3 linked regions of the Lonchura striata genome follow. The protein of the gene in region 1 interacts with the protein of each later gene in a pairwise test. Links are inferred from orthologs where the notes say so. Each region holds a gene or a part of one and is shown in the gene's direction. Other genes may lie near its edges.

What was found.
Region 2: the proteins of C1H5orf22 (region 1) and WBP11 interact in binary tests that used the Homo sapiens proteins (3 or more experiments, as listed by UniProt). The two-hybrid records come from large-scale screens. The link is inferred for Lonchura striata from reciprocal best matches to the Homo sapiens genes C5orf22 and WBP11.
Region 3: the proteins of C1H5orf22 (region 1) and ELOF1 interact in binary tests that used the Homo sapiens proteins (3 or more experiments, as listed by UniProt). The two-hybrid records come from large-scale screens. The link is inferred for Lonchura striata from reciprocal best matches to the Homo sapiens genes C5orf22 and ELOF1.

The regions. Positions count from the first base shown.
Region 1 is NC_134603.1:97,753,120-97,760,689, reverse strand, and holds the start of C1H5orf22 (UPF0489 protein C5orf22 homolog), read left to right. Parts: upstream 1-4,506; 5' UTR 4,507-4,528; coding exon 4,529-4,633; intron 4,634-7,049; coding exon 7,050-7,195; intron 7,196-7,570. Other genes in the region: DROSHA (ribonuclease 3), read right to left, coding at 826-1,676.
Region 2 is NC_134607.1:56,791,255-56,799,319, forward strand, and holds the start of WBP11 (WW domain-binding protein 11), read left to right. Parts: upstream 1-4,990; 5' UTR 4,991-5,063; intron 5,064-6,073; 5' UTR 6,074-6,123; coding exon 6,124-6,187; intron 6,188-6,997; coding exon 6,998-7,029; intron 7,030-7,654; coding exon 7,655-7,748; intron 7,749-8,065. Other genes in the region: SMCO3 (single-pass membrane and coiled-coil domain-containing protein 3), read left to right, coding at 551-1,228. UniProt on the Homo sapiens protein: Activates pre-mRNA splicing. May inhibit PP1 phosphatase activity.
Region 3 is NC_134623.1:1,323,857-1,329,617, forward strand, and holds ELOF1 (transcription elongation factor 1 homolog), read left to right. Parts: upstream 1-4,167; 5' UTR 4,168-4,401; coding exon 4,402-4,517; intron 4,518-4,765; coding exon 4,766-4,836; intron 4,837-4,924; coding exon 4,925-4,989; 3' UTR 4,990-5,219; downstream 5,220-5,761. UniProt on the Homo sapiens protein: Factor involved in transcription-coupled nucleotide excision repair (TC-NER), a mechanism that rapidly removes RNA polymerase II-blocking lesions from the transcribed strand of active genes.

The DNA.
Region 1 (7,570 bases):
TGATATCTCATAATCGGGCAGGAGTCCTCATTGCGGGCTTCAAAGGATCAGTTATTGGTTAAAAGGTAAAATAATCTAAGTGTCATTTCTTAATTGGACAGTTTAGTCTTAAAAAACCTTGTAACAAGAGATTGTTGGCCATTTTTGCGGTGCTTTTCCAGCGTGCAGAGTCTGGTATAGATGGCGTGCAAAACTTTTGATAAGGTAACAATAAACAAGAAGCTGAAGATCAAAAAAGTCCTGTGCATCTCCTTTTCCTGACACAGAACAGCTCCAGAAGGGTTTTCCCCCTGACAGGGGAACCCCGAGAGAGGAGCCCAACGTGGGGCAAAGAAACCGATATATTAGCTATGGGCCCCTATCAGACTATAAACTTCACCAAGTCAGTATTCCCTGTAAATCCAAGGTTTACTGAAAGAAAGCAACACCCGGCACCCAAATCTTGAAATTTGAAGTGCTAGGGCTTAATTGTAAGACTCAACTTTCTATAGTCTTACAGTGACAACTCTATTTTCCTGCCACGTGTGCATTCATTTCTAAGGTAAATATGTTGAGCACTACTCAACAATCCACTCAGTGGGATGCAAAGAAACTGTTGTTTGAAAAACTATTTCCATGGACAAGAGCAACAAGTCTGCCAGCTCACAACTGTGAGGCAAAGCAGTGCACCTGAAAGGTGTCTAAACAGTATTTTTTTCCATGAGACCTGATTACTGGCTACTTCCCAAGCTAGAGGGACAAACAAGGGTAAGGGAAGAACATTGATGCAAACACACATTATGGGCCATGATGACATCTATCCCCCTGCAGGCAGGTAACTGTTACCTGTTTCGCTCATAACTTCTGTGATGAGGCGATATCCTTCCTCTCTCATAATCCGTCCGGTGCCGACTGCTTTCCTGCCTCCTCCTATCCGGACTGCGGCCCCGATCCCGACGATCCCCGTGGTTGGCGGAGCGATGCCTGTCGCCGTGAATGTGCCCGTGCTCGCGGTGCCGGTGCTCATCGTAGTGCTTGCTCCTGTCAGGGGAGCGCCGGTCGCTTTGGGACTTCTCTCCCTGGTACTGCCCCGTGTGCCTGAAGTGGCTGCTGCTGGCGCTGCTGCCGGCAGCGCTGCTCGGGAAGGAGCCGGAGCTGTGCTGGTAGCTGCTGAAGCTGGGCGGCGGGAACGACTGCTGCGAGTAGCCTGCCGAGTACACGGGCTGGTAGCTGACTTGCTGCGGCATGACTGGCGGCGGGGGAGGGTGTGGTACCGTGGGGGGAGGCATCATGTAAGGAAAGGTGCTTTGTCCAGCAGGTGCTCCTGGCACGGGAGTGTTGCTAGGGTTTGGCACTGGTGGAGGAGTGGGTGGGAAACATGGAGGCACTGGGAAGCTCTGCCTCATCTGGTGGTTTGGAAATGGTGGCCTCATGGGACACTGGCTGATGGGATTTTGTGTGGAAGGGGGCACTGGAGGAGGATAGGGCACAAAGTCTGGCCTGGGAGGCATGTAACCGGTGGCTGGAGGGTTGGAGTAGGTTGTTGGAGGGGCAGTTTGCTGCTCATACTGGTACTGCACGGAGGGCTGCTGTGGGTGGAGCTGCCGGAGGTTCTGAGGGCGGTAGGTCTGTGTTGAAGTCCTTGCTCCTGGTCCCCCCTGGCCACGGGGACATCCTCGCCCAGAATGGAAAGACATGGCTCACCTTTATTGAGGAAAATAAAAATGCAGTGTCACACAGTTTTTGTAAGATGTCTTCAATGCATCTGCAGGAGCTACTCCTGAAGTGCTGACACTGCAGTTTCCTTTAACAGAAGCAATAAATGATATCCACTTTCACTGGGAGCTTTGTGCTCCTCAGACATTTAGTGCAGGCCATTTATGCCCCTTTAGATTCCTTCAAGCCTCTAATCCATGAAAGCACTTACTGTCTTCAAGCCAGAACGCAAGCTGGATCATGCTTTACGAGTTAGGGCAATGTAATTTCAACAAATTATTGTAATGATGGCAGGTCAAGGATACAAGCACCTCCACTAGGACTTTGACACTTTGATATAAAACCTTTGGATACCCCACACCAAAGAAATCACTCATTATTATAACTGCAGTGGTTATCCAAAGTTGTGTAAGAAGTTCTCTCTAGAACACAATTCTAAATTTTGGGCAGAATGACTTGACTAACAAATCTTTGGATGCCTCCTGGCCAAACAAATCATGTCAACTTTAAATTAAATACTAGCTTGCTATTGAGTCCCCAGTGTACTAAAGACTGAATTCAACAGACCCTTCAAACTCTTTTAAGTGAGGTACGTATATTTTTGTGGAAAAACAGGTTACACATCTTGCAGGTTATGAAAAAAAAAATCATGCAGACTGTGCTATTCCTTAATTTTCACTGAAATAAATGATTCCAAATAAATCCCTCAACTGCCTTCTTGACCCTGTTACCCTTGAGAAACCATCACTGCTTAAAGTAGGTTTAAGTGTTGCTCAAAACAAGGCATGTATTTAAGGCATTAACATTTATAAATGAAAGCACTGTGCTTCATTAAAGTTTAAATTGATTTTTTAATTGCAATGGTAAGTTTCAAAACCTGAAAAAAGGAGAAAAAACACTTAAGAAAATTTATGGCTGGAACGGAAGGAGAGGTGAAAAAAATGATCTAAGCACCTCCAGAAGTCAAATCCTGTTTTCTGTAAGGGGAAGTGAGAAAGAAAGGGGAGACACACACAATTGGAAAGATCACCAGAAAAAAGAAACAAAGCCTCCCTTTCTCTGAGGCTTTGCTGATGCTGAAGAATACACATGCACAGAATATTCTCCCACCTGCTATAGTGCAACATGGCCAACCTGGACTGCTCAGAGCACTGCTCTCAGCCACATTCCGGTGACACTGTAGTAAAAGTTGCAGCACTTGCTGAGAGAAAGCAGACAGCTTCTGGTGAACTGGAGGGAGAAAGGAAACGAAACACAGGGGCAAAGGACGGATAGCAAAGATGAGGAATCAAGAGGACCCTCCTTACACATGCAGTGCTTAGTGGAAGCCACTGGAATTGGTGGTAGTATTCCCTCTCCAGAACAATCAAGTGCCAATGTGAGTGTGATTCCCACACTATGAGGAGATAGCAGCCATGATGGTATAAAGCCACGTGTTCCTTCCAGTCAGCCTGCACCTGCTCAGTACCCTCTAATATTCTAAGGGCTCTCAAAAAAAAAAAAAAAAAAAAAAGTCACAACCAGGGGAGAAAAAAAAAAGTCAACATCCATTTTGTCTGGCAATAGCATACCCTTTTGATATTACTGACTATAATCCATCAGATGCTGAATTAACTTTGCTTTGGTTCTCCTGCTGTGCTCTTACACAACTCAGGCTTGTAACAGAAGACTGTTTTAGACTTTGCTAATGCTCCCATACACATGTTATTTAAACAGGCTGTACCACAGTGCCTTATCTTTAGGTGCGTTTCTTTCTAACATGTCACAGCATTCAAAAAAACAGTCTTGTTTATCAGCTCACAGACCTTCCCAATGCCAGAGAACTGCTCTTGATCTATTACTTTAATTTTAGTCCTTCAGCAAGCCCAGAATCACAATTGGAAAAAAAGATTCAAAAAGACACGGAACTATTTTACATGCCCAAACTATTTTAAAGCTCCCTCTGCTGCAAACGCAAGTCACATTAAACTTCAAAAACACAAAAAAGAGCAAACTCCCCTTCCCCTGTCACCTAAAGAGGAATTTTATTGCACCAATAGGAGCCATTGCATTCTAAAGCAGCACTGGTCCCCTAAAAAACACTGAATAAACTCATCTCTCCCTGCAGATGCACTGCTGAGAGCAACAGGGCACTGACACATCGAGAAGAGAGCACTGAGAGGGGACATCATCAATGCCTGTAAGTACCTAAGAGAGGGTATCAAAAAGGCTGGATTCAGGCTCTTCTAGTGCCGTGCAACAGGCACGAGAGTGAACGGACAGAAGCCGATGCACAGGAAGTTCCACCGGAACATGAGGAAGAACTTCTTTAACTGTGCGGGAACGGATTCCAGAGAGGCTGCGGCGTGTCCCTCACTGGAGATACCCAGGAACTGTCCGGACGCAATCCTGTGCCATGTGCTCTGGGATGACCCTGCAGGAGCAGGAAGACTGGACCAGGCAACCCACTGTGGTCCCTTCCGACCTGACCCATCCAGTACCACCGGCCTCGCCCCACCGGCGCCTCCCGCCGGCCCGGGGGCACGGAGCCGCCGAGCCGCCCCTGCCGGGCCCCGCTGCCCGCGCCAGCCCGGCCCCGCCAGCCCCGCGGAGCCGCCGCGCTCCCGACCCCGCGACCCCTGCGGAGCTCCACGAGCAGCGCGGAGCGCCCCGAGGCGGCCCCGCCGCCGCCCCGCGGGCAGCCCGGCACGCCGAGCCCGCCCGGCACGCCGAGCCCACCTGGCGCCCTCGCCGCCGCCGAGCCCAGCGCCGCCCGCAGCGCCCGGCTCCGGAACAGGAAAGCGATGGGAGGCGCTGCGGGCGGAAGCGCCGCCCGCCCGAGGGGAGCGGCGGCATGAGCGGAGCGGAGCCGCGGCTCGGCGATGCCGCCCGGCCCCGCGGGGCCTCCCGGCGGCGGTACCCGGCCCTGCCCGTCTGGGTGGTGGAGGACCACCAGGACGTGAGTGCCCCGCGCTGGGCTGCCGGGGGATGGGGACTGCCATGGGGAGGGTTTCCTTTGTTCCTGCCTGCGTGTGTGCTGGTGTTTCTCCGCGGCGCGGATGCTCAGAGGGGCAGGAGGAAGCGAAGAGAGGTGCCCGGTGCGGTCACCGGCGGCCTCCCGGGAGACGCTTTCCCGTACGTGTGCGGCTTCTCCGGGCGCTTCCCGGGGAGCGGCCCTCCCCTCCGCAGCCGCACACAAACCCCAAAGCCGCCTTCCCTTCCGCCCTGAAACATCAATGAACTTCAGCGCCCAGGTGGCCCGATTTTCCTTCCCGATTGACTTATTGCCATGATCGCATTTTGGCATTTTTAAAAGCAATTATTGCTGACTGCTTTTTCTTCTTTTGTAATTGAACCACACCAATTGCTGTGGTTTAAAGGAGATAATACCTACATTACACTGCTGTTTTAATTTGCTGGCTATTAGTGGGGTGCTTGGAAACTCAACCCTACCCAGTGTATGACATGTCAGCAGAGTATAAGTAAATATAATCCTATCCCATCTAGTAGATTGACTCCCACTTGATGAGGAATGTTAAAAATCTGGAGCTTTGCCTTTTTTTTTGTGGAGTCATTGAAAAAGGGAGTGAAGAAGGAATTGCTTTAGAATTGCTGTTTCTGGTTTCTCATGGGGTTTTTTATAATAGCATAAACTGAGGTTTTAATCCTAAAATAACAGATTCTTTACTTGGTTATTTGCAAAGAGAAAATGTTAGTGTAGTAAAGTGTTTTAAAGACAATAATGTTACAAATTTGTTAGTAGTTTAATACCGTTCATTTTTGTAAAGACTCGCTGAATACAGGATGCTGTGACAGCTGATTTTTACAGCTCTAAGTAGCCAAGGACTTAGAGTGTCAGTGTGGTAGGAATTCTGAGATAATACCTCTTAATGATCCTTCTTTACTTTAGTCTCTATATTTCTGGTTTTAGTCAGCTTAAAGTTATATTAATACTATATATTTAATTTAAAACATTTTCAGCACAGGAGTGTGGATTAATTGGTCTATCTTGCATAAAACATAATGGCTTTTTGTCCCGAAGTGGAAGAACTTCACAGAAGTTTTGATATCAGCCTTGCTGATAGTGATGTTCCTCCAGAGCAAGTTGTCAGTAGCTGCATCATGCACTGATTAATAATAACAGCTGTCATGAAGGAAATTTTGTTCTTAGTCCAAATCAGGAGAATTTGCAAGGTTAGAGAGGTTAGTCTTTCCTGTCTCTTGCAACCAGTAGTTGCACTTACCTGAGGTGAAGCTTCAATTTTAATTGAAAATACTGTATGTTATTTAGTAGGCCAACTTGCTTCTTTGTTACAAAAAAGTAAAAGCCATGCAACAGGAAACCCATGTTGGTTTTAATCTTGTTTTATCTATTGTTGCAATAATATACATATGTTTTACGGTTATGCCTATGCAGTATGCAGGGTTTATCATCTTAATCAGTTTTATGCCAAAAAAGTAGCTCAGTTGCTTTTGTAATGCAGAGGTCACATATATTTTTTGTTGCTTCTTACAGTCTTCACATTCCCTGTATAATAGTGCTGTCATTCACAATCCTTGTTGGATTTGCTCTGATAGCCAAGGCAGTTGATTCTCTCTAACTGTGGAAGAGCCTCTGTGAGCTCCAAGAGAAAACAGCCATCAGTTTTCTCATTTTTACCACCCCATATTATTGCAGTTCAGTGGTTTGCTATTCCTGTAAATTGGTGAGTTGCTTCATCTCCTGTTTTTCACCTATCTGAGTGAAGAACTTCAGCAGAGAATAAAGTTGGACAGGTAAGAAAGATAGTCTCTATTGCAAGCAGTAATGGAAGGATTAGGAATTAATTCTCCAAGAGGAATAGGTTTAATGATCAGCTGAAGTTTAAATCATGGTGGCGTCAGTTTTCAGTCTATATCATTTAACTTATAAAACATAAGGAGCAAACTGTTTTTATCTCCATAGCACCAGTGCATGGTGAGAAAGCTTTATAGCATGGGAAAAGAAGTACAAGGCCAATGATCTGCAGAAGAGGAAAGGCATTCCTGAGTCTTCGGTGTAAATGGAAAAAAAACCCCTCAAACATCTAGGAATAGAGTTGAATGGCTAGTGAGAAGAGCTACTGCAGACAAGACTTCCTATAAAGAAGGAAAAAGGGTGTAAGGCTGTGACTTTTCAGCAGTTTCTCATCTGGAGCACTTGGGCTTATAATGATTACTGTTCACGAGTTGTCTTGCCACTGGAGTTATTTTCCCTCTGTATTGTTTTCTGTCTCATCCTCCCTCTAATAAAATTCTAAAGGAATAAAAGTGGTACTGGTGGTTTTGCTGCTAAAGCTGTTGCATTTTTCAGCTCACTGACTATCATTAAAATGTTTTTATTCATGTTGCTTTAGGTGCTGCCTTTCATCTATCGTGCCATTGGTTCAAAGCATCTTCCTGCCAGTAACATCAGTTTTGTTCATCTTGATTCCCATCCAGACCTTCTCATTCCTGTGAATATGCCTGCAGACACAGTATTTGACAAAGAAGCTCTTTTTAGGCAAGTCCTGGGTACTGCATCAGAGTAGACTTTAAGTCTAATTCTTGCTGCCTTTGATTCACAGTGATTATTGCTATGACTGCTTAGGAGGGATGAACAAAAGTGATATAAGTCACATTCAAGTTGCATCTTCTGTCTTTTCACTTTTGCTGAAACTTTATTTTTTAATGGCAAAAGTTACATTGCGTATCAAGCAATTTAAGATGCATGACGTTGCTTTGTGTATTGACTCAATAGTGTATGATGGTATTAAGCCAAATGTTTCTTCTGGGTAACAGGAAAGCACTCTGGATGCTTTGTCTGAAAAGCTGTAATTACAAGCTGATGCATTTGGTGTACTTGAATCACCTTAGCCATAGTCAATATTTTGTTCTC
Region 2 (8,065 bases), on another chromosome or scaffold:
TCAGTCTCTTTGGACTCTCTATATTGGCATGCAGTTTATGAAGAAGTAAATATCAGGGAACAAAATACAATGAGAGATGTATGTAAGGTGATATGGGTTATTATAGACAATTTTATTATTCATTATGAATTCAGAAGGTAAACTTCTTAGTACAAGCACAGAATGCTTATATAGTATCATTTTCTCTTGAATGTCAGAAGAAAAAGGTTATACTGGCATAAAATATTCTTATTGTGACACAAACCATATCCACCAATCATCATGGTTGCTGAAAAATTGGATTACACTAAATGGAAAAAATAGACTGATACAAAAGAGTGCCTGGAACAGCTCTTTAATCTTTAAGCCACATCTTTAATTTTGCTGATTAGATGAGATTGTTCCATTTTTTAGTGAACTAGTTCAGGTTCTAACATCTTCAGTTTCCAAGGTTCAGTATCAATTTTAATCAGAGACAAAGGAGATTTCACTGCTCTTTAAGGGCTATGGTTATGGGTGTTAAACAGATAAGAAATTTATTTTCTCTCTTGAAATAGCCTATTTCTGAAGAATGGCATTGAGTGACCTCCTTTACCCAGATAATCCCAAAAGAAAGCAAGAACTGGTCCATCTGCATCAGGAATTGCTTGACAGTATGTCTACAAATTTCCATGCAACAAACGAACTGGTTGGAGTGCTGAATGAACACCTGAGCTGTACTATTACCCCCATTGAGATGCAAGAGAGCAGTACAGTCAAGGAAAACTGTGAGATTATCATTCAAGTGATGAATGAGATTCAGCATCAGGTGCAGAAGATTGATAGTGACATGAAGGACAAGCTCGAGCCAGTGCTGTACCAGAAACTATATGATATCAAAGAGCCTGAGCTGGAGAAAATTGCAATAGCCCAGAGAGTTTTTTCCATTATTTTTGGAGAAGCAACTTCAACAGCTGCAATGGTAGCTATCAAACTTCTTGGCTCCAATCATTTAACTCTCACTGTGAGCAAGCTCATTGGTCTCCTTGCACAGATTGGGGCATCTGTTCTTGGGGGAGTTAGTATTACCATTATTGGGCTTGGCCTTGAGATGATTCTCCATGCCATCCTGGGAGCTGTGGAGAGGAGTCAGCTTCTGACAGCTGTGAGAAGCTACGAGAAGCACCTGGCTGAGTTTAAAGCAGCCTCAGAAAAGTACCAGCGTGCCATACATGAAGTGACTTCTTTGGTGAGACAGCAAGTTCAGTAAATGGAGTTCTGTCTTCTGCTGCAGCAGCTTATGCCTGCAGAAACCTTTTTGATTCATTAGGACAAATTAACTACTGATGGCTTTTTATTTTCTTATTTGTGGCAGAAGAAGAAAAGTGATAGTTCAGGAAACTGGCATTGAAATATATTAGTAGAGAACTGATTTACAGATGTTTTGTGGGGGCAATGTTTAAAATGCTTTGCACCTTTCCTTAAGCTTATTTTCTGGGAAGCATCTTTAGTACAAACTGTAATTCATACTAGAGACAAGAATACAGACTGCTGGACTGGTAGTGGTGAGGTGTGTTTCTGTATCAAAGATGACAACAGAAAGGGAGAAAACAATTTCAACAAGGCAATTCATGCTAGCATCTGGAGGCTTTATGAAGACATCTGTGGTTGCTAAAGTCTTAGTGTGGTTTAGTGCTAAATCTGATAAACTGAATTAAATTACAAGGACTAGCTGAAGCATATTTAACTGCTATTTCCTGCCCTCCTAAGAAGCCAACCAGAGATCTTCTTTAAATAAACTATAATCCCAGTAGATTGGCAGGTAAGAGAAGCCTGGGCCTACATGCAAACAGACACAACCTTGCTCCATAACTGAGAGAAACCAGCTGCTGTGCTCTGGGTGTGAACAACCTCTCATACTTGTAATGCTCTGCTCCTGTCAACCTACATGTAAAAATTTCTGTGCAAAGTTGCTCGTCTGTTGATTGAAGTGGAATTATACACATGTATAAGTGCCTGTAGATTGCAGCCCTATTTAACTAAAGTTATTTTCAAGTGCCTTACCTGATCCCACCAATCTGGGACTGCCAAGAATGTGCTCAGATTCTGCATTTCACAATATGCTACCAACTGTCCTTATTTTCCAGATTTTTGCTCTGATATGCTGTGGATTGTTTTCTCTTGATCTTAGAAAAAAAAGGTAATTTAAGAATTAATAAAAATGTGCATGAGTATTGGAAGACTTCTCTGTACTTTTATTTTTTTATCTGAAAAACAATCTTAAACCAAATAATAAAGAAGTATTGAAAGCTTTATTATACATACAATTCATTTTTTTAAAATCCACAATAGACCAATCTAGTTATGCATAGGTTCCTTTTTTTAGTACCTGTTTCTCCCATACTAAAACCATGTCCAAATTCATACATGTTTCTAATATTCAATATTAGCAATCTCAATTTATTAACAACTAGATGGTGCCTATGAAATAAAGAAATGGGTGAGATTCACAGTTCTTCCACTCTGGGGTTTGGGGGGGTTGGTTTGTTTGTTTTGTTGGGTTTTACTTCTCCTCCATGTCTGTTCTCACTTCAATATTTTCTGACTCCTCTTTCCTTTTATGCACAAAAGCCACTAAATGGCAATGAAACTGCTGGTACCCAACAGCTCTGTCAAGTCATCATGGAGAAAGCCCAGGGTTCAGAAGCATAGATGGGTGCCAGAGCCCAGAGAAACTGGGACCAGCTGCAGACTGGGCTACGTGAGTCAGGAAAGGCACTTTAGTGGTGGCAAAAAGCACTGCCATGCCTACACGAGATATGGTGGTGGATGACGTGGTGACCTGAGGCATCACTTCTCCAAAATGTAACATCTCTTGTCTCCTGACACAAATGGCATTAAGTTAAGAGGTACTTCTGTAGAGACAAGAGACTGTCAGTCAGTAGAACAGCAATATCTCTGTGTTGGAGAGGTAGGAGTTCCTGGCTCCTGATTTCTATGTGCAAGTGTACACTCCAAACTAGGAATTAAAACCAGCTCTTTGAAAGATGGCCAATCACTGCTGTATAAAAATAGCGGAGCCAAATAAAAACAAATCTGTCATATTTTTTCAAGCAATTTGCCCACATGTTCTTGAGTGCAAATGCTAAGCAGTGTCAGGGGAAGTGAGGTATGCAATGAGGAACACAGAGGTAAAAAACTGCTACTCACCTCTAAGTATATCCTTGTTCCTGGTGGACTTAAAGGAAAGCGGATTTCCTCACAACAGATTTAATTCCTGCTCTCTCTAATGCTCTGGCCAGTCTTATGTTTGGTGCTCCAAAGATGCCATAACCAGTCTGTTGATATTTCCCCTCCAGACTCCTTCAAGCTGCCTCTCAGTGTGACAGAAGTAACAAGTGAAAACGTGAGAGGACTATTGTCCTCCAAATCAGCAGACACTGCTGTGAGAAAGCAGTCAGGGCTGAGGCAGCACCACTATCCCCAGAGGCCAGGATTGCCAGGACAGAAACCCCCAAGCCTTGTGAGGTGCAGCTAACCCTCAAAGACTCAGCCATCCCCCTCCACAGTGACATGGCACCTGACAGGGATGTGTGTGGCCACAGCTTTCCATCACATCCTCTTGAGCATTCTGCCTTTATTCAAGCTGTTGTTCTGGACAAAGGATTAAGGATAAAACTGTCATATATGTGTTCCAAATAAGAACAGCCTCAAAAAAACTTCAAACCAGTGTGAGCTGCTTCCAAACCTATAAAGAAAAACAGTACAGTTGCAACCAAAATCTGCCTGGCTGAATGTTCTCTCTGGTGGCAAGAATAATACAAAAAGAACATGCAAAGAGGCACAAGGTCGGGATGACCATGCTGTGCACGGATGACCATGCTGTGCATGGATGATCATGTGGTTAGCAAGACTCTGTAGGCACTAAGAGCTCCTGAAAACTTGGCTCTGAGGATACTCCTTGACTTTGTGCAGCTAGTGACTAAATGTTGGCTTCAATGTGATGTGTAGCTTATAGTCTTTTACCCATCGTGCAATGATCCTTACCAATTAGCCAAGAGAGTCTCCATTACTTGAAAAACTATGACAACATTGTGTTGAATGTTATGTGCACCAGGAGCAGAGAGTCTAGAAATCCTGCCCAAGCATCTGACCACCTCTGCTCTCAGATGCCACCTGTGCAGAGAAAAATTTCCTTCCTGCATCTCCTTTCCAACATGCTAGTTTTTTAAGCCTACACCCATAATTTATTGCTATTGATGTTTTGTGCATCTTCATCCAAGTTCTTAATGTGCTGTGGACGTTTACTGGAAATTCTGCTTTGGACAATGACACAAAACAGCTCCCACCAGGTGTTGACCAGCCTCACCAGTTCACCACAGTGGGGGCTGTAGGAAGAGGCAAACAACAGAATAGATTCTCTGGTGCCCGACAGCATAAAATGATCTCTTGTTCGCTTTGTACAGAGGGATCCCAGCCCCGCTGACAGGGGAGCAGCGCTGCCCGTGGCCAAGCCTACAACAAACCACGGGACAGGCCTCAGGCTGTGGGCAGCCCCTGCTCCCGCAGCGCTTCCCACTTATTCCCCATGGACAGAGGCTTCCCCCGCGTCCCTCGGCCCTGCCTTCTTTCAGGGCACTTTGTGGGATCTCTCCTGGAGGGCGCGGGGAGCAGGGCCGCGCTGGCCGCCTTCGCAGCTCTATTCCAGCACACGCCTCACACCGCGTGCGCCCAGAGGCGTCCAGAGCCCGCCAGGCCGGCCGGGCGATGCTCCCTAACTCCATCGCTACCGCTGCCTCCGTCTCTGTCTCAGCCCCTGTCTCTGTCCCTGCCCCGGCCCGTTCCCGCCGTCCCGCCCCTCTCCAGGCCCAACCATAGAGTTGGAGCCTCCGCGGGGCGCGAGGGGCGGCGGAACCATCGAGCTGCGGCGGAACCATCGAGCTGCGGCGGAACCATCGAGCTGCGGCCGCCGCTTCCGGCGCGCGGCTCCGCGCCGCCACTCCGTGCCGCTGCAAGATGGCGGCGGGGCCGCGGCGGCGGGCGCGGGGCTGAGCGAGGCCGCGGCAGCCGCGGGCAGCCGGAGCCGGGCCCGGCCGGGCGCAGCGGTGAGAGGGGCGCGGCGGTGCTGGGCTGCGAGGGAAGAGAGGCGAGGAGTTCGCGCTAGCTCGTTTTCTTCCTCCTACTATCGGGCGGGAGTAGGAGGGGGGGATTTCTGCCCCGTTCCCCTGTGGCCAAAAGAATAATTAATTTAGTGCTTGAGTGTATATTCTTTTTTTCACCTTCGGTCTTTAACTTGTTACGTTGAAACTCTTTAGTCTGGGTCCTTAGAAGATGTGAAATGTAGGTTTCGGAAGTTTGTTCTCTTTCCCTTTAGCCTTTACATATCAGAAAACTGGGAAATACGGGATGTAAGTGTAACTCCTACCTGTGTTTGGTGAGCTTCCCACCTAAGGAAGCGATAGTGGCTTGCAAAAGAAAAAAAACCAAACCCAACCCAGTCTTTTTGCAGGTTTGGAGGGGGAGGGAGAGAAAAAACATCCCTGGCTGTAGTTTGGACATTTATGTAGTCATCTGTAAGCCGGAGAAATATCTAACGACTGGAAATAATTTTTTGCAGAATAATCCTACACTTGCTGTACAGTGGGTGCTGGGGAGAGATATCAGAGGCAGTTAGAAGTCTGAGGAAGGAAGGAGATCTATGGGGAAACATTTGAAACAGAGAAAGGTGAAAACTGGAGAGCGCTTACAAGAATGAATGGGAAGCTGAACTCTGATACAGTCTTAGAAAAATATAATGTTAGTTTCTCCCTGCCCTGCACCCCTGCATAGTCTAAACACAAAGCTTTTTGGTTTGAATTGTAATGTGAATAATAACAAACTCATCAATTAGTTTAAAATTAGAATCTACTAAAGTAGTAGTAAGTAGGTACTGAGTTAAATAGTAGTACTTATTGCAGTAGGGCACTTTTGATATGGGTGCTGAGCTCATAGTCGGGTTTGAGGGCCTGAAAGGTATTTGGGCTCTTTGAGGGAGTAACTTGCTGATAGAAAGAAGACAAACAAGCATCCTCAAGCTGCCAGTGTGTAGGACCTGAAACCATGTCATCTTTTCCAGGTTCCTCTCTGTTAAGTTTCATTTTTTGAGGCAGAAGAAAACATATCAAAATGGGGCGGAGATCTACATCATCCACCAAGAGTGGGAAGTTTATGAATCCCACGGATCAGGCCCGTAAGTATACATAAAAGCTAAGCAGGTGGGAATGGGGAATGCCTAGAGCAAATAAAAAGCTTTCTCTGAGGATAGAATCCTCACTTGTGGATCAGAACTGTTTCTCTGAAAAATATTGTCTCAGTTTTATCTGGGAAGGCTGCTTGCTTTCATGCTCTTGCTTCTCTTAAGTATTTATCTCTTGGTTTTCCACTGGTTATCAGTGTTGGAAGGCCTTTGTACTTGGCTGTTGGATAAACTGCAGGCTGTTTCCTGGGACAGCGTTAATCTGTCCCAGGCAGGAATTTGAGGAACATGTCAAATTTTGCAGGTGCTCTGGTTAGATGGGGGAGTTGTCTTACTGGGTTTTTTCCTACTTTTGGTAACATGCCAGGTGTTATCAATGCTCAGTGAATAAAGAAAATCTGGACTCCCACAGTGGATATGCTTTATTTCAGAGGCATTCTCAAAGCCTACATTTTTTTAAAGTGTATTGTCTAATGACTCTGTTTCAGCTTCTGTGCAGCAATCTTTTCATGATTGCAACTATCACTATGACTTCAGTTGCCTATTGTTCTTTTTTGTATGGAAAAAAACCTTGCTTCTGGAGACATGAAGACTGCAGTATCTCTTTTTTTTTTCCGTATAAAAGATGAGAAACAGAAATCTATTTCATGCTATATTTCTTTTTCACTGGAAACCTGAATTGCAGTAAGTCTTTGTAAAAGGAGTGAACTGTTGAGAAACAGCCCTAGTCTTGATGAAGGAAGGTTCTTCATTAATTTTATTTTGTCGTTCAAGTTGTTACTTTCTTTTTCTTTTCTCCTCTAGGGAAGGAAGCTCGGAAAAGGGAACTAAAGAAGGTAAATAAAGAGATTAGGAAACATGTAGTTGGCTTTTCCTATACTACGTATCGTCTTTGTGATTGTAAAGGGCCATGAATAGACTGTGGATATTTTGGTTGATATTCTAAGACTGACTTTGGAAATACTATCCAGACATATAGTTCAAAAGCACATAGAAGTCTTGTTTGGAATAAACATATTCCCAGCTGTTCTTTAACTTGTAATTGTTTTTGAAACATTGCTGGAAGTACTTAATTATTAAAGAACCCAAAAACAAGAAAACAAAGAAGCAAGCAACATACCAAAAAAAAAAAAAAAAAAATCCAAATAAATAAAGCATCCAAGAGTCACACACTTCTTAGTGTGTTCTAATGTATTTTGTAAGTTGTTACTGTGTTGATTGCATGTGTCTTAGTTGGAGTGAAGGAATGATAGCAGCATTTGCAATTACCAAGATAATGGAATTAAAATTACCAGAAGTTTCAGCTACATTTTCTGCTGATTTGTGCCATGGTGAACGTTTTCAGGGCATTCTGCGGTGTGATTTTTTTTTCCTCAGACTGGAAATACTGAGAAAGTGGTAACAGATGTTTTGTGTCTTTCTACTGTGAAACTTTTCTATCTGCTTGATCTCTGGTCTTAGAACAAAAAGCAACGGATGATGGTCCGAGCAGCTGTACTGAAGATGAAAGATCCAAAGCAGATTATCCGGGACATGGAAAAGTTGGATGAGATGGGTGAGTGAGAGGTACCAGGTGTTGGACTTAGGCAGTTGTTCATGTAGATGCACAGTGTAGTTTTAACTACTGATGGGGGAGACTGAAATAGAGCAATCTTTTCCTGTTAGAAGTGGGGATTCTGTGAATATCTGAGGATTGATTATGATTTGAGGTGTTGTGGTGCTATCAAAGAGTATTTTTTTCCAAGAAGGTGATTGATCAGAAAAACGAGTAGTGTGTGTGAGTGCTGCTAATGTAGAATTCAAGGAGGGGATTGTCATAAGGCTGAAGACATCCTGAAAACAGGGATTGGAACTTGTTTTGAAATAGTTTAA
Region 3 (5,761 bases), on another chromosome or scaffold:
GGGTCCTCGAGGGTCCCTGAGGGTCCCCGAACATCCCCGAGGGTCCCCCAGCGTCCCCAAGGGTCTCCGAGAGTCCCCAAGGGTCCCCCGGTGTCCCTGGGGTCCCCAAGGGTCCCTGAGGGTCCCCGAGCATCCCTGAGGGTCCCCCACTGTCCCCGAGGGTCCCTGAGGATCCCCCGCTGTCCCCGAGCGTCCCCAAGGGTCCCCGGGTGTCTCCAAGGGTCCCCGAAGGTCCCCTGGTGTCCCCTGCTGTCCCCTCGGGGCCTCCTCTCATGTCCCCATGTCCCACCGGCACTTCCCATGCCCTGTGTCTGCTGCTGGGTTGTCCCCAAGTCCCCTCGGGGTGTCCCCACCGTGTCCCTGAGTCCTCTCATGGTGTCCCCACCGTGTCCCCCCTCCATCCCTGTCCCCAGGTGTCCCCATGGTGTCCCCAGGTCCCCTCAGGGTGTCCTCATGGTGTCCCCAAGTCCCCACGGTGTCCCCAGCCTGTCCCTAAGCCCCTGTGGGGTGTCCCCAGCCCTGCTGGGCATGTCCCCACATGTCCCCACATGTCCCCACATGTCCCCGCGTGTCCCCACATGTCCCCGCGTGTCCCCGCGTGTCCCCGCGTGTCCCCGCATGTCCCCAAGTGACCTCACGTCCCGCGGGCTCTGTCCCCAGCCCTACCACACCCTGTGCCATGTGCTGGCGTGTCCCCAGATTGTCCCCAAGCCCCTCAGGCTGTCCCCAAGCCCCTCAGACTGTCCCCAGGCCCCCTCAGACTGTCCCCAGGCTGTCCCCAAGCCCCTGAGGGTGTCCCCAGGCTGTCCCCAAGCCCCCTCAGACTGTCCCCAGACTGTCCCCAAGCCCCTGAGGGTGTCCCCAGGCTGTCCCCAAGCCCCCTTGGTGCATCCCCCACCGTGTCCCCTCTTGTCCTCACGATGTCCCCGTGTCCTACAGACCTTTCCCCTGCCCTGTGCCAGTGCTGGGCTGTCCCCAGGTGTCCCCACACTGTCCCCAAGTGTCCCCAAATGTCCCCAAGCCCCGTAGGCGCTTCCCCCACCCCTACTACAGCCTGTGCCTTGTGCCGGGCTGTCCCCAAATGTCCCCTGGTATCCCGAGGTGTCCCCAGGTGTCCCCACACTGTCCCCAGGTGTGCCCAAATGTCCCCAAACCCCCGCAGGCACTTCCCCCACCTGTGCCTTGTGCCGGGCTGTCCCCACACTGTCCCCTGGTATCCTGAGGTGTCCCCAGGTGTCCCCACACTGTCCCCAGGTGTCCCCCAAATGTCCCCAACCCCGCAGGCACTTCCCCCACCCCTACTACAGCCTGTGCCTTGTGCCGGGCTGTCCCCACACTGTCCCCAAGTGTCCCCAAATGTCCCCAACCCCCGCAGGCATTTCCCCCACCTGTGCCTTGTGCCGGGCTGTCCCCAGGTGTCCCCCACATTGTCCCCAAATGTCCCCAAACCCCGCAGGCACTTCCCCCACCCCTACTACAGCCTGTGCCTTGTGCCGGGCTGTCCCCACACTGTCCCCTGGTATCCCGAGGTGTCCCCAAGTGTCCCCACACTGTCCCCAGGTGTCCCCCAAATGTCCCCAACCCCGCAGGCACTTTGTCCACCTGTGCCTTGTGCCAGGCTGTGCCCAAATGTCCCCTGGTATCCTGAGGTGTCCCCAGGTGTCCCCACACTGTCCCCAAATGTCCCCAAATGTCCCCAACCCCCCATAGGCACTTCCCCCACCCCTACTACAGCCTGTGCCTTGTGCCGGGCTGTCCCCACACTGTCCCCAGGTGTCCCCAAATGTCCCCAACCCCCCATAGGCACTTTCCCCACCCCTACTACAGCCTGTGCCTTGTACTGGGCTGTCCCCACATTGTCTCCACACTGTCCCCAAGTGTCCCCACACTGTCCCCAAGTGTCCCCAAATGTCCCCAACCCCGCAGGCACTTCCCCCACCCCTACTACAGCCTGCGGCTGCACCTGCCCGGCTCCAACGCCTCGGCGCGGCTGCTGGTGCTCGACTCGGTTCTGCTCTGCGGCCGCGGCGACGATTTCGGGCGGGGCCCGGCGGGGCCGCGGGACGCGGCGGCGGCGGCGGCGCAGCTCCGCTGGCTGCGGGCGCAGCTGGAGGCGGCGGCCGCCGAGCGCTTCGTGCTGGTGGCCGGGCACTACCCGCTCTGGTCCGTGGGCAAGCACGGCCCCACGCCCTGCCTGCTGCGCCTGCTGCGCCCGCTGCTGCGGCGCCACCGCGTCAGCGCCTACCTGTGCGGGCACGACCACAACCTGCAGGTGAGGCACCGCAGGGTGACGGGGTGCCGGGGTGACAGGGGTGCCAGGGGTGCGAGGGCCGGGTGATGGGGTGCCAGGGGTGCCAGGGGTGCGAGGGCCGGGTGATGGGGTGCCAGGGTGCCAGGGGAGGGAGGGCCGGGTGATGGGGTGCCGGGGTGCCAGGGGTGCCAGGGGTGAGAGGGCCGGGTGATGGGGTGCCAGGGTGCCAGGGAAGGGATGGCTGGGGGTGCCAGGGGTGCGAGGGCCGGGTGCCAGGGGTGCCAGGGGTGCGAGGGCCGGGTGATGGGGTGCCAGGGGTGCGAGGGCCGGGTGATGGGGTGCCAGGGTGCCAGCGGAGGGAGGGCCGGGTGATGGGGTGCCGGGGTGCCAGGGGTGCCAGGGATGCGAGGGCCGGGTGATGGGGTGCCAGGGTGCCAGGGGTGCCAGGGGTGAGAGGGCCGGGTGATGGGGTGCCAGGGTGCCAGGGAAGGGATGGCTGGGGGTGCCAGGGGTGCGAGGGCCGGGTGACAGGGGGTACCAGGGTGCCAGGGGTGCCAGGGGTGCGAGGGCCGGGTGACAGGGGGTACCAGGGTGCCAGGGGTGCCAGGGGTGCGAGGGCCGGGTGCCAGGGTGCCAGGGGTGCCAGGGGAGGGAGGGCCGGGGGTGCCAGGGTACCAGGGTGACAGGGGAGGGAGGGCCGGGGGTGCCAGGGGTGTCAGGGGAGGGAGGGCTGGGGGTGCCAGGGGTGCCAGGGGAGGGATGGTTGGGTGCCAGGTGTGCCAGGTGAGGCACAGCCAGATGTGCCAGGTGAGGGATGGCCGGGGGTGCAGGGACACCAAAACTGTTCAGGGACACCCAACGCTGTTCAGGGACACCAAAGCTGTGCAGGGACACCCAAAGGTGCTCGGGGACACCCAAGGGTGCTCGGGGAGCCCCAGACCCCCCGGTGTCTCCCCGCAGTACCTGGAGGAGGGGGGCGTGGGCTACGTCCTGAGCGGCGCCGGCAACTTCATGGAGGACTCGCAGCCCCACGCGGGCTCGGTGCCCCCCGGCGCCCTCCGGTTCTTCTACGGGAGCGCCGCCAGCCCCGGCGGCTTCGCCCACGTGCGCCTGGAGCCCGCCGCCGCCACCGTCACCTTCCTGGAGGCCACCGGGCGCGTCCTGCACCGCGTCACGCTGCCGCCGCGCCACCCGTGACCGGGACCGGGGACGGCGGGACAGCGGGGCACCGGGACAGCGGGAGAGCGGGAGAGCGGGGCAGGGGGACACCGGGAGAGCGGGACACCGGGACAGCGGAGAGCGGGGACAGCGGGAGAGCGGAGAGCGGGGCACGGGGACACCGGGAGAGCGGGACACCGGGACAGCAGGACACCGGGACAGCGGAGAGCGGGGACAGCGAGACACCGGGAGAGCGGGACACCCGGAGAGCGGGACATCTGGACAGCGGGGACAGTGGGGACACCAGGACAGCGGGACGCGGGGACACCGGGATCCGTTCCCTGGGGACATCGGGAACACCGGGACCCCTCCCTGGGGACGCCCCGAGACCGCCGAGTCCCCCCGGGGGACACCGGCACCGCTGCCTTCGGGGACATCCCGTCAACTCTGACCCCTTGGGGACACCGGGGACCGGACACTGCCCGCCGGCCCCGCCCGGTTGCCCCGTGCCGCCAATAAAGGCTTTGAAGGGCGCCGCCGGACCCGAAACCACCGCGATTCACCCCAAAACCGCGATGGGCGGGGTCCGGCAGGGCTGGCCACGCCTCCCACCCGTTGATTGGCTGAAATGCGCGTCCATCACTCACTGAGTGGGCGGGACAGAGTCTCTCGGTTCGCCGCTGGTGATTGGCTGGGGCGCTGTTCTTATCAACCAATGAGCGGGGCGTTTTCGGGTCACGTGGGGAAGAGCGCGCCGTTCCCGCCGCTGATTGGCTGAGGGCGGAGGGGCGGCACTTCCGGGATCGCGGCGGGAGCGCGGCGTGAGGACCGGGAGGGACCGGGGGGCACCGGGGGGCACCGGGGGAGGGTCCAGCCGTCCTCGGCACGTCCCGCAGCGGGTCGGGGCCACTCCGAGCCGGCTCCCGGGGCCGATCCCGGTGTGGTTCCCCTTCCCGAGGCCGTTCCCGGTTCTGGGCTCCGGTGCGGCCGCCATGGGCCGCCGCAAGTCGAAGCGAAAGCCGCCGCCCAAGAAGAAGATGACGGGGACGCTGGAGACGCAGTTCACGTGTCCCTTCTGCAACCACGAGAAGTCCTGCGACGTCAAGATGTGAGCGCGGGACACCGGGCACCGGGGGGACACCGGGGGGCACCGGGGACGGGACACGGGGATGGGCGGCAGCGCGGGAAGAACGACGGAGAAACCCGGGGGGGAAGCGGAGAGCGGAGACATGGACGAGGACACCGGGCGGGGGTGCCGGTACCGCGGAGGGGACACCGGGCGAGGGGACACCGGGAGTGTGGCGGGGGGGATCGGGACGGAGCCCGGAGGGGTCACGCCCGTCCCGTGCCTCGCAGGGACCGCGCCCGGAACACCGGGGTGATCTCGTGCACCGTGTGCCTGGAGGAGTTCCAGACCCCCATCACCTGTATCCTTACCGGGACCCCCCTCGGGACACCCCCGGGACCCCTCCGGGACCCCCCGAGTCGGTGTTGGAGCCTTAACGGCGCCGCCAGACCTGTCGGAGCCCGTGGACGTTTACAGTGACTGGATCGACGCCTGCGAAGCCGCCAACCAGTGACCCCGGGGGGGCGGCGGGGACACCGCCCGCTCCCCAAACTCCCGGCGGGGTCAGGGACCCCCCCCCGGGCCCGGTGACAGCCCCGGAGCCGGTGCGGGGGTGGCATCCCCCCCTCCCCCCGCGTCCGGCACTTGTCCTCGTCCCCGTGGGGACACCGGGGCGGGGGGCGACGCGTTTGGGGACAGCGGCCCCGGAATAAATGCCCCGAGTGGTGGCCCTGGTCCTCCCTGTCCCTTTGTCCCCCATTGTCCACCCCATCCCCGCCGCCCCGGTGTCCCCCCGGTGTCCCCCGGTGTCCCCCGGTGTCCCCCAGCACGGTCCCACGGCGCTGTCACCTCTGCGTGTGGCTTTTATTGTGCCTCGGTGGCTTCACACGTGGCGGGGCCCGAACCCCCCGGGGCCGAACCGGGGACCAAACCCGGGGGTGATCCCGGGACTGAACCCGGGGCCAGCCCAGCCCTGGCCCCGCCCGGGGCCGGTCCCGGGATTGTCCCACCGGGGCCGGTGCCGAGTGCTGCCCCCCCACCCCGGGAGCCATCGCGGGGCCGATCCCGGGGCCGGTTTCCCCTGGGATTAATCCCGGGGCCGGTTTCCCCTGGGGCAATCCCGGGGCTGGTTTCCCCCAGGGCCGATCCTGGGGCCGTTTTCCCCTGAGATCGATTCTGGGGTGGATTCCAGGGCCGGTTTCCCCCGGGGCCGGTCCCCCCGGTGCCAGCCCCGGGGTCGGTTCCCCTGCGATCGATCCCAGAGCTGATCCCGGGGACAGTTTCCC